Linked DNA regions of Arabidopsis thaliana. The protein of the gene in region 1 interacts with the protein of each later gene in a biochemical or structural test. Each region holds a gene or a part of one and is shown on either strand. Other genes may lie near its edges.

What was found.
Region 2: the proteins of NPH4 (region 1) and MYB77 form a complex in vitro, tested with the Arabidopsis thaliana proteins (one study listed by BioGRID).

Annotation. Positions count from the first base shown.
Region 1 is NC_003076.8:7,016,012-7,023,930, forward strand, and holds NPH4 (Transcriptional factor B3 family protein / auxin-responsive factor AUX/IAA-like protein), read right to left. Parts: upstream 6,103-7,919; 5' UTR 5,494-6,102; coding exon 5,448-5,493; intron 5,128-5,447; coding exon 5,015-5,127; intron 4,915-5,014; coding exon 4,819-4,914; intron 4,715-4,818; coding exon 4,658-4,714; intron 4,570-4,657; coding exon 4,414-4,569; intron 4,327-4,413; coding exon 4,242-4,326; intron 4,151-4,241; coding exon 4,060-4,150; intron 3,978-4,059; coding exon 3,810-3,977; intron 3,719-3,809; coding exon 3,523-3,718; intron 3,425-3,522; coding exon 3,286-3,424; intron 3,209-3,285; coding exon 1,230-3,208; intron 1,152-1,229; coding exon 961-1,151; intron 874-960; coding exon 693-873; 3' UTR 459-692; downstream 1-458. Other genes in the region: CPN20 (chaperonin 20), read left to right, coding at 1-47, 170-343. UniProt on the Arabidopsis thaliana protein: Auxin response factors (ARFs) are transcriptional factors that bind specifically to the DNA sequence 5'-TGTCTC-3' found in the auxin-responsive promoter elements (AuxREs).
Region 2 is NC_003074.8:18,556,990-18,561,314, reverse strand, and holds MYB77 (myb domain protein 77), read left to right. Parts: upstream 1-1,988; 5' UTR 1,989-2,263; coding exon 2,264-3,169; 3' UTR 3,170-3,708; downstream 3,709-4,325. Other genes in the region: AT3G50050 (Eukaryotic aspartyl protease family protein), read left to right, coding at 4,200-4,325. UniProt on the Arabidopsis thaliana protein: Transcription factor involved in auxin response. Functions in auxin signal transduction and modulates lateral root growth. Interacts with ARF response factors to promote auxin-responsive gene expression.

The DNA.
Region 1 (7,919 bases):
GGTTGTTGTTAACCGAGACTACCAAAGAGAAGCCTTCTATTGGCACGGTAAGTGCTCACTTGATATCATGTCCATTCGGGGAATCTGATACTTTCTTAGTAGCTTGATGTGATAGTCAGTTCATACACAAGTTCCAATTATACATATTCTCCTCTTCATTTTATGGCAGGTGATAGCAGTTGGACCGGGTTCCCTAGACGAGGAAGGTAAAATTACGCCTCTACCAGTATCAACCGGAAGCACAGTACTTTACTCCAAGTATGCTGGTAACGACTTCAAGGGCAAAGATGGTTCCAACTACATTGCCCTCAGAGCTTCAGATGTGATGGCTATACTTTCTTAGTTATGTTATATCTTTGTAATCTGCAACTTGTATCCCAATTGTGGAAATTTTTTCCGTAAACGGCCTGAGCATAATCTGGAATAAAGACTTGAGTTTGAAAATGTGATTTTATTGCTGATTTCATGTTTTTCCTTCTCTTTTTGGTTACAAGCGGTTTCAGTTGATCAGTTAAACTTGGTAGAAACAGTGACTCACAGCAAATAAAATCTCCGTGTAAACTTAGTGGAAGATATTTTACAGGTAAATGCTCTACAGTGCCCAGTGGAAACTTGAGACATGTTATCAACGAGAAGTTATATTACAAAACGAAGAAAAAAGAATCTTTGTCTGTGAGAGAACTCTTCTGCCATCACCGGTTAAACGAAGTGGCTGAGTTATCATCATAATGACCTCTCCAAGCATTGCCACTGTCACCGCCACTACAAGCTTGATTAGTAACTGGTACACCGGCAAAGTTCCCGTCTAAGCTCATCTGCTGAACCTCAGCTGATGAAAGGATCTTAATGCTCTGAACACAGTTTACGAATTCTCTGCAAAAATCACGATTTTAAAGGTTAGCAAAAAAATAATGGAACTTCTAACAGTCTGATGTGTGAATGTAATTGCTCTCTACTTACTCCCATGGATCATCGCCGACGAGGAGGATGTCATTTTCATGATCGACATAAACAAGTTTCCAGTCAGATGTTTGAGGATCTTCGAGCTGTCCTTCGATCCCAAACATGCGCGCTAGATCATGCCTCAGCTCATCGTAACCTCTGTAACGGTTGACGTCTATTGATCTCCCCACTGAGCCTCGTTTTTGCACCTGTAGGAAAATTTAACATTTGTCAAACCGAAAACATAACCCAAATATCAACAAGCATAGATCAGAGCACAATCGAACCTTTGTATAAGTTCGCATTCGCTGAGTCTGAGCTGGCCACAATCCACCACCAAGAACTCCAGCATCGTTGACAGCTAGATCGTTCGAAATGGCGGGCACATTGGGGACACCAAAAGATTGAGTTCTTACAGCTGAAGTAGACATCTCTGTACCAATGTCATTTGTCACTCCTCCATAGTTTGAAAGCATGTTCTGAAGATCTTTCTGGGAGTCATATCCCCTCGAGAGTAGCGTGTCAGGCACAAAGCCATTATCAACATTAGCTCCACCGAGCAAGCTGTTCCTGGAATCACCGTCAAGGCCAAAAGTTGGAGCCAAGAAATTTTGTTGTCTGTTGTTTTCGCCTCCATCTAAACCGTAAGAAGTTCCAGAGGCAGATGCTTCTAGTTGATGATCTGTTAAACTAGCTTTGGACTTTTGCTGACCCACGAGTTCTTGTTTTAGCCGCATATCGGATTTGCTGTAAAGATCCTGAACAAGATTACCAGACATATCAATCGCTGCATCAGGTATCAAGATCGCTGGCCCGCTTTGGCTTCTGTTGAGAAAGCCTGAAGAAGAGATCTGACAGTTGTTGGTGGAAGGCGACGTTGAAGAGGAAGGTGCATCTCCTCCATCTGTGATGCCTGAATAAGCTTTGACCCCTCCCCCAACCGGTGGGTTTTGTTTTTCCTGAGGTCGGCTCACCAGCATTTGAGGTGGTTGCAACGTCGATAAGCCATTGTTAGTGCAAGATGACGGAAACTGATGACCTTGAGAGAGAGTAGGCAGCTGTTGCAACTGCTGGCTTTGCAATTGATGGTGTGGTAACTGAGACTGCGGCGAAAGAAATTGCTGCTGCTGTTGCTGTTGTAATCTCTGTAACAGCTGAAACTGTATATGCGGCTGTTCCAAGAGACTCTGCTGGAATATCTGTTGGGCCTGTGCCTGGTGAGCTTTCTGCTGCAAAAGTGTTTGCTGATTCTGCCCGTTGAGACCAGGAGGCTGCTGCTGTTCTACTTGTCGTGAAAACTGTGTCTCTTGCGGCGGTGCGGACATCAGATTGGATGAAGACTTGCTGGTTTCAATTACACTACTCTGGCTAGTGCTAGCACCTAAATGGTGATGTGCTTGTTGAAGTTGCTTAGACTGTTGTTGTTGCTGTTGAAAGCTTTGATTAAGGGAGCTGGACGGAGGCGTGATGACACTGCTTGCCATTGATCCCGAAACTAATTGTGGTTGCAAATGATGTGTAGATGCTTGTTGCGACTGATGCTGCTGCGCTGCTTGTTGACCATTGTAAAGCTGATTCTGTGGAACCTGAAGTTGCTGCAACTTATGTTGTTGTAACTGTTGTGGCTGTGGATGCGAGTGAGATTGCAATGGCTGTGTTCTTAGCTGCTGCTGCTGAGTCTGTTGCTGTAACGGTTGTTGATGTTGTTGCTGCAGTTGTTGTTGTTGTTGCTGCTGGAGCAATTGTTGTTGTTGCTGAGACTGCGATTGATTGTTGTTGCTGTGTTGTTGAGACTGCAATTGTTGTTGCTGCTGCAGCAACTGTTGTTGTTGTTGCTGTTGTTGAGACTGCGATTGCTGTTGTTGATGGTTCAAAGAGGAGTGCAACAATTGCTGCAGCTGCTGTTGTTGGGACAACGTAGTTGGTGGCTGAGGCAACTGAGACATTGGGGCTTGCTGATTCTGTTTGTTAAATTGGAGATTTGAGGAGGAAATCCCCCCGTGCGGCGTCTGAAAGCTCAGTAACTTGGAGGGATCATCAGTGCCGCCAAGATTGTTGTGCAGCGCCGCGGTTGGCGAAAGCATTGATGGGAAGAAACCTGGCTGTGCAGCAGCAGAGGGTAGCTGGCCGTTCTGCTGCTGCATATTCATCCACTGAACTAAACTCAGACCAGGAAAGATAGTACTCGAAGGGTCTTTCATCTCTAAGCTATTATCAAGCCATGGCATTGCTCTCTTCAGTGCAGACTCCATGTCAGTCTCATCATCTGCAAGAGCACCGGAAATTCCGTCCTTGAGGAGATTCAAAGAAGTTGTGTCGAAATGAAATGGTACAAAAATTTACCTGGCATTCCAGGTTGTCCAGAAAAGCGAGGTCGGAAAAATGGAGGAGGACATATGTAGAAAGGAGTTAAAACCGGTTCAATGTCCCAAACTGAAACTCGACTGGGCCTATCACCAGCAGCTGACTCATCCCATCCAATCTTTAGCAGAAACAGAAACAAAGCATAACTAAAATGAATGGTGCAATGTATCAAGAAAGACAAATCTGACATTCATCATGAGTTTTACTTCAAACTACCTGAAGATTCCGCCACTGAGAGTTTTTCCATCTCACTGGATCAAGATCACTGATACCGGTAACTGTACCCATATACCGACGAACTCCACATTCTTCAGTCTCAAATATCATTCTAAACCGCATACCGAGGGAAACTTGAGCGTACATCGCTTTGGTATACTTGGCTAAAGGAACCACAAACTCAGCAGGAGCAGCCCTGAAAAAACTCGGTTGTAAATCTCTCAGCAATTGCCATGAAACAAGCATATATAGTAAGGTTAACGTAGACAAAAGGAAACATAGATCGCCACCTCGGGTTGTAGAAAATGGTGAAAGGACTGTTATTAGCATTAGCATGAGCTGCAGCTGCAAGAACTCCGATGTGCATGCTATCACTTGATATTACAGATGAAGAAAGTGCAGGCTGTTGTCTATTTGCACGTCTTATCCCCAACAGAAGTTGCGCCTTTCCATCTCTTAATTGAAAGAAAAAAAGAATTAGCATCTTGACAAAAAAAAATACCGAAAGAGAGCATTGGCACATTGAGATTGATATACCTTATAAAAAGAACAGAGTCTCCAGCAAAGAGCCTTTTCGTGCTGACAAACACACTCCAGCCTGTAGTTAGCAAGTGCCTTTTTGGTTGACCTGATAAATGTCAACATATCCAAAACGTAAGAACAATTCTACGAAAGCCAAATTGATTAAAGAAGGTAATCTACCAAAAACAAGGTAAAACCTCGATAAATATGTCTGAAAGTCCATGTGTTGTCATGAATATCCTTAGCAACAAGCTCCTGACAAGGTGGTTGCATCGAGAAATCCTAGTAAAATATTGCCAACAATGTAAGAAACTAAGGCAATACAGAGATACTAACTATCAGATGTATAAGAAAGTATTGTATATACACCAGAGCAGGAAAGATTTTCTCAGCAGCTCGTCGGGGTACAGAAAATCCACCGTGAGTACTTGTGTCACTCGCCGTGAGGGTTTTGCAGAAAAATTCATTAGGTTGTCTGTTTAGCTTAAGACCCATGTCAGAAGCAAGCAATGCATCTCTGTCATACTGTTCAACAAAATGCTCAGAGCAATTAGTCCCTCCCTACTCCTTAAATACACCTATAAATCGAGTTATTCAGTGAAAGGTAAGCTACTTTGTTTACTGGCTGAAGAGTCATCTGCGCATAGACCTCATCCGTCTCAGGATCAGCCTGGTTCACAGTCGACAATTAGCAAAACATTAGCAACTCAAAAGCAAAAAATGTTAAAACAACTAGCCTAAGAGGCCATTATAGATATTTAAAAGATACCATACATTCAGTGTAACATTGTGGAGCATGCATATGAGCTTGGAAGGAAGATTCGGGTAACTTGGTATGAAATCAGTCTGCTTCTGCATTGAAGCCGCGACCTAAGAAACAGAAAAATAAATAGCAACCACATGAAATTTCCAATCAGCGACTCATTCTTGATCAGCCGCGAATGATACCAAACTTTATTGAACAACATACTTGCTCACTGTGACCTTGAGGGAAGTAAACAACAAGACTTCCTGCTGGAGGCAACGAAATCAATGGCCCAGCACAAGCGTGCCATAGCTCTGAGTTTATATTTCTCCTTTCTCCTGCATTCACACAACATCAAAGCTGTGATTACTTAAAATCTCTAGGATCTTCATTCAGTTACTATTATCAAACCAACAAGATAGGAGAGAACTGCTCTAAACCAACTAAAAGCCACAGTCTTTATAAACCAATACAATAGTAACTTAGCTTACTCTCTAAGCAGAAAATGACCGAAACCAATTCAATTCAGGTTCTCAAATCCAGCAATTCTGAAGAAATGTGTGACCTCTTCTACTTAAAACTTGAATCTATTCAAATCCAGCAATGAATTTCTTCTACTAAAGGATTGACATTTATCAGATACGAGAAACACACAAACCTTCAACAGGATTAGGAGAAACTCCATTTGATGAAGGAGCTTTCATGATCACTCAACTTTACTTTCTCTGAAGAATAAACCCAATAAATAATCTGAATCTGAGCTTATACAAAGCTAAGCTCTTTGCGTGAGAGCTTCATCAAAAGCCCTAAACTTTCACTCAAGTTGTTAATAGCTTCCTAGCTCAAGTAACAGCAGAGAGAATCGTTAATCAGAAATGGGGAACTCCAAGATCTCAGCTTTTTATCTCCGACAGAGCCGCCAATTTCTCGGAAATTTTAAGTATCTCAAAGAGATCAAAAACCACGACTTTTCACACGCGGAATCTCCGGAGAGACAAACAAAGCATACGACCTTAAAAAAGATTCCGTTTTTAACGAAGCTCTTTATCTCGAGTCAGATAATTCAAAAACACCCACAAAGTTACTTGATTCAGCTGCTCTTCTTTGTTTTGCTTTCCTTTCTTGGGGGGAATCAAATCAAAGAGACGGGTTTCTATAAAAAGAAATCTGGAAAATGAATCGAAAGAGAAAAACAAAACTTAAGGATGACCAAGGACAATCGAAGATTAAGACTCAAACGTGAGAGAAAGAGCAACAGAGTTGTCGGAAAGGGATGATCAGCGACCAGGACAACTACCAAAAGGTCTGCTAAAGCACAGGAACAGCTTTTTCTTCTTCCTCTCCTTTTTTTTTCCTTCTCTTTTCTTTTTCCGATATTTTTATTTTTTTATACCTATTTAGTTATGCTCATGAAGCCGACATATTCACTAGCAAACTGGCCACGATTTAATTTCTTAATGTTATTATTGTCCTCTAAAATTTTAACTTTGACACACAAAAAAACAACTTTATTAGTGTTTTCTTTTTCCTTATCTCTGATAATTTGATAAGTTTTTTTCATTAAGGTTATTATTACTGTATCATTTATTGTAATACTTGATTAGGGATAACATAGATTTATAGGGGATGTATTGAAAAAAACAAACTAAGCTGACTAGCTAGTTATTTGATCAAAGTGCGTACATATATGTTTGGCAATTTCTTTTGTAGTTAACTATATTTAATTCAGATAGATTTTAGGATTCATAATTCATCAAAAAATTTTATGATTTTCATTATTTTGAACAAAAGCATTTTACTAGAAATTTTGTGGAGTTTTACATGGTTGGTTCTGAGTTTCATAAACTAGCGTTCATGTTTTAAACGAGAATGGAACTTAAATGTTTAGTAATGAGTTCTATAATAACAAACAAATCTAAATTCGCTTAGATCATCATTATAAACAATTGATCTTATTTTGTTGTAAATGTTGATTAATTGATCAAATCTAAGTACATACAGCATATGCGATCACAAAGAACAATATTTTAACGGACGATTTCATATCAAAAATGATAGAAGTTCTCTCTTTGTTCATGATTCTTTATTGGTTTCTTATATTAATTAACCTAAACTTTTGTCTTTTGGAAGAAGTGTTATAATGTCACACAAAATAAAATTACATATGATGATCACAACTTACACTCTTTTCCCAGTACAGCCATCATTCAAAATTTTCCTCTATAATCGTTAAAATGTCTACCCAAAAAAAAACGGTGATATATATTCCTAAACATATTGGAAAACCGAATATAACCATAAATATGTCATTGTACAAACTACAATCTATTTGGTTTAAGGCCACATAACAAGTTTTATCTACCAAAGACTGAACCTCCATATTCATCACAGACCATTGTAAAATGCATGTAAACCCTTTGAATGACCCCACATCAAAAAAGAAAGTTACAAAACAGTAACCTCTTTGTTAGTTTAGGTTCGATCCAAAACTTATTTGGCAGGAATGCTTAAAATTCTATATACTTACAACTTTAAGTGAAGGTAATATATATGTATGGAATGAATGGATGTCAATTCAAATAAGTGGCAGTGAGTAGCGACATGATGTCCCTGAGCAATAAATGCGTGAAGACAGAAGTTTGGAGATTGGATGAATGTAAGAAGGCCTTTTGAAGTTATGGATTTCGACGCCTAGCTTTTTTTTTTCTTTTTTTTTTGTGAAACTTTGAGGCCTAGCTAACGTTTAAAAAAAGAAAAAGAAAAATGTTAATAGTTTTCTTATTACAAAGTGACCGAAATTTAGTATGAACTCCGAACTACGACTTCATGCATGTATTAAAGTTGGAATGAAAGGAAGAAGAGCGTGACGCATTTCAGAACCGGTTGTGTGTCCGTATGGTGTCCGCAGTGGAAAGTGGAAAATGAACAAGATGAATAACTCATATACTGTCCTAAAGATATTTCCAGAATCACATCAACGTATTTTAGCCGATTTAATGAATTCGACAGTTGGTGTTGACAATATATGTAAATGTAACCACAAAATACACCACTTGAGTTGGATGAATTATCAGAGAGAGACGAGGAAGTTTCGTTACGATTCCATGATTTTCTCGACTTTACTATGTCA
Region 2 (4,325 bases), on another chromosome or scaffold:
TAGAATGTGGAACACATAATAAAAGTAAACATATTGTTAACTTTTATAACCAAGACTAAGTGTATTATTATTATTATTTTTTTTTATTTTTTTAAAATATTAGGAGGTTTTGGGCCGAAACCCGTAATCTCTACAGACCCAAAATTACAGCATATAATATTAGTTTCGTCACTAGAATGTATTATTAGTATGAAAGAAATAACAATTAAGGGAAAGTTTGGTCAGTAAACTGAAAACCAACAACATCAAAACTGAAATAGTTTCGGTAATCCGTTTATAATTTGACTAATTAGTATGTAACTAATTCGACATAAAATACGGAAAAAGATAAATTAAAAAATAAGTTGTGAAACCGTTCGATGAAGGTTGGGAAGAAGGTGCAAATGACGTTTAGTGCGTTACTAACGTAAGAGACAGTTACACACAATTTCAAAAACAGTTCCAAAAATTTGACACGTGGCAGTTTGCTTAATGGACGACAGTTAGTTGTTTGTTGAGGATTACAGCCTGGATTTTCGTCAATCAAAAACTATATATTATAAATAAATATGATTTCATTCACATTCCAATTGGCCTAACACTCTTTTGTCGTGTTGTCCATGTCAGCAAATTTTATTTTTATTTTTCCGACCACTTACTTTTATCTTGTGTGGCCGTTTCTTTGTAACAAGTTTATGAAACAGAATATTAATCGTATCTAATCATATAAATGTAGTTTCCCGTATTGTGTAAATACTATATGACTTTGATTTGGGGCATTCAAAAACGTACCATTAACAAATAGTCACAGACAAAAAAACCATACAAAACTGAACCACATTTCTATAAACGATACAAATATTTTTATCCCAAATTTGTAGCACTAGGCAGTTTGAACCTTTTTCAGTTAGAAAGATAAACCAAAAGGAAGTAAAAAATATTAATTTCATCGCTCAAAACTGTTACAATTACTGTTTAACCAGTCATAAATTAGTTAATGTTTTTTTTTAAAAATGTGTAATCAAAATTTTACTTTCAAGAGTGCCAGCTCTATACTTGCAATTACTTTAAAATTTAAAAATATACAAATTTTAAATTATGTGTATTGTATTCTCGAGAAAAAAAAAAAAAGAAATCTATGAATAATTAAAACGTAGCATAACCGTTACAAGTATAGTTTCAAATTCAACGAATCAAAATACTTTTTTAAAAGTAGCTAATACTTTTCTCGTTTCAAATTAAATGTCGTTTTGCATATTAATTTTTGTGTCATATTAAACGTCGTTTTATATTCTATGCAGATTTTATGTATAAACTTTATTGGTCAAAAGCGTTACGAATATCGTTTCAAGTTCAACGAATCAAAACATATTTTATAAAAACATCTAATACGTTTTCCGTTTCAAATTAGATGTCGTTTTGCATTTTAATTTTTGTGTCAGTCTAATGTCGTTTTATATTTTCTACACATTTATATTTTCAAAAATTTCAGTTTTATTTTTATTGTTTAAATATATCATCCAATTTGAAAATAATACAATACAATAACAAAAATAACATTTAAATTAAACAAAAATATTTTTAGAACACTGTGATCAAATTTTATCCTCCAATATTTCCCGACCCATAAACTTTAAACCTTATGTAACTTCAAAAAAAAATTCAAATTAGTCGTTTTGTATTCTACAAAATAAAATAAAAGGAAAAAAGTTTCAGAGAAAAGGGTAAATTTGCATAACAAGGAATACAGGCTGGCGTGTCCAGTCAAAAAAGTCAGAAATCTGCATAAAAAACTGTCTTTACCCAAACTGCCAAACCTAACCGTTATCGTCTCAGATATTATTATTATTTTTCAAATAAACATTCAAAACAGCTTTCTAATTTTTCACCTCAGATTGTGCGAATAATATCAGAGCTCTTTCCTTGTAGGTTTCCGTGATTTTGTCGCTTTAACTTCCCTTCTTTTCCCACTCTCTTCTCACGCGCGCGTGCTTCCCCTTTCTCTCTTTCGACTGTATCACACGCTCCATAAACTAATAAACAGACGCACCGAGATCACGACACGTGTACACCTACAGCTGTATCCCAAAACTTTCAAAACCGCTTGCGTGGAAGAAGCGGTGCATGACTTTCTCCACCGTCTCTACCGGTTACCGGTTATTATCCATCCTCCTCTCTATCTCTCTCTCTGTTATAAATACCTTTTTTCTCCTCTCTTCAGTTTCCTCCACCTTCTTCTTCTTCTTCTTCTTCTCTACAACAAACAAACAAAAGATCTGTTTCAATGGCGGATCGTGTTAAAGGTCCATGGAGTCAAGAAGAAGATGAGCAGCTACGAAGGATGGTTGAGAAATACGGACCGAGGAATTGGTCTGCGATTAGCAAATCGATTCCAGGTCGATCTGGTAAATCGTGTAGATTACGTTGGTGTAATCAGTTATCTCCGGAGGTTGAGCATCGTCCTTTCTCGCCGGAGGAAGATGAGACTATTGTAACCGCCCGTGCTCAGTTTGGTAACAAGTGGGCGACGATTGCTCGTCTTCTTAACGGTCGTACGGATAACGCCGTTAAAAATCACTGGAACTCTACGCTTAAGAGGAAATGCAGCGGAGGTGTGGCGGTTACGACGGTGACGGAGACGGAGGAAGATCAGGATCGGCCGAAGAAGAGGAGATCTGTTAGCTTTGATTCTGCTTTTGCTCCGGTGGATACTGGATTGTACATGAGTCCTGAGAGTCCTAACGGAATCGATGTTAGTGATTCTAGCACGATTCCGTCACCGTCGTCTCCTGTTGCTCAGCTGTTTAAACCAATGCCGATTTCCGGCGGTTTTACGGTGGTTCCGCAGCCGTTACCGGTTGAAATGTCTTCGTCTTCGGAGGATCCACCTACTTCGTTGAGTTTGTCACTACCTGGAGCTGAGAACACGAGTTCGAGCCATAACAATAACAACAACGCGTTGATGTTTCCGAGATTTGAGAGTCAGATGAAGATTAATGTAGAGGAGAGAGGAGAAGGACGTAGAGGTGAGTTTATGACGGTGGTGCAGGAGATGATAAAAGCTGAAGTGAGGAGTTACATGGCGGAAATGCAGAAAACAAGTGGTGGATTCGTCGTCGGAGGTTTATACGAATCCGGCGGCAATGGTGGTTTTAGGGATTGTGGAGTAATAACACCTAAGGTTGAGTAGTTTTGGTTTAGGGTTAAAACTTGAATCGATTGGGGATTTTCAAGAGCATTCATTTTTGGGGTTTATGGTAAAATTAAAAACAAAAACAAAATGTACAGAGGAATTAAAATTTCTATGGAATAATCTTAAATCTCAAATATTTGTTACTTGTTTTGGTGATTCATAACCAAAATCTATAACAAGTCTAAATCTAAAAATTGAACCTTGATTAGTGAGACATTATCATACAAAGAGACATACTGAGTTAGTCAACAAAATGTAGGATAACTACATTCTTACATATTGTATAGATGAATTTCATGTTAATCCTTTCATAGAGCTATACAGTAACCATGATTAGTGAGACCTTGTAACATGTAGTATCAAAATCAACAAAGGTATAGATTTAACATCTATTTGAAAACATTCGAACCTTTTATTTGAAAATCTTTTGCTTGTTGTAAGAGATTTACTCTATAGTCTATAGATAGTAATTAAACCTTTTCTATAGGTTTGGTAGATTACTTCACTTTTATATAAAATTAATTACTGTCAAATCGGATTTTTGTTAACATAATTATTTTTCGACAATTTAGAAATTATCGTAAAAATTAGATCAATCTTTCTACATTCTTACAAAAAATAAATACATTGTCTAGAAAATCAGTTTTTTTTTTTCGTTTTAAATCTATAAAAAAACTGACAACAACAAAACAATACATACTTTTTAATTACTATAGAGTAAAATCTCTTACAACATGCCAAAGATTTCAAATAAATTGTAGGAAGATTTTTATGTTATTTAACCATTCTACAGTATAAATAAACACTGGTACAGCGATGTTAAAAAGTAGAGGTTAAAAAAATGCGTTAAAAACACAAAAGCTACGTCGTTTCAATAACTGGGTTTTGTCTCAAAGAAAGCTGCTTTTGGTTCCCGTAGATCTAAAGTTACGTTCGAGTCTCCCCTCTTCTCTCCACTCACTCAGCTCTTTTGATTCCCCTCCAATTTTCTCCGACGGTACGGTCGAAAAATCCAACCGGAGATCAAATGGCACTGCCGTCGATCTCATCAATCGGCGCGACGTTCTCACTCCTAATCTATTTATCTCTTCCTTATTCAATCACAGCTGGTGAAAACAACCTCCTCCACCAATCTCCAACCGCTAGATCACGA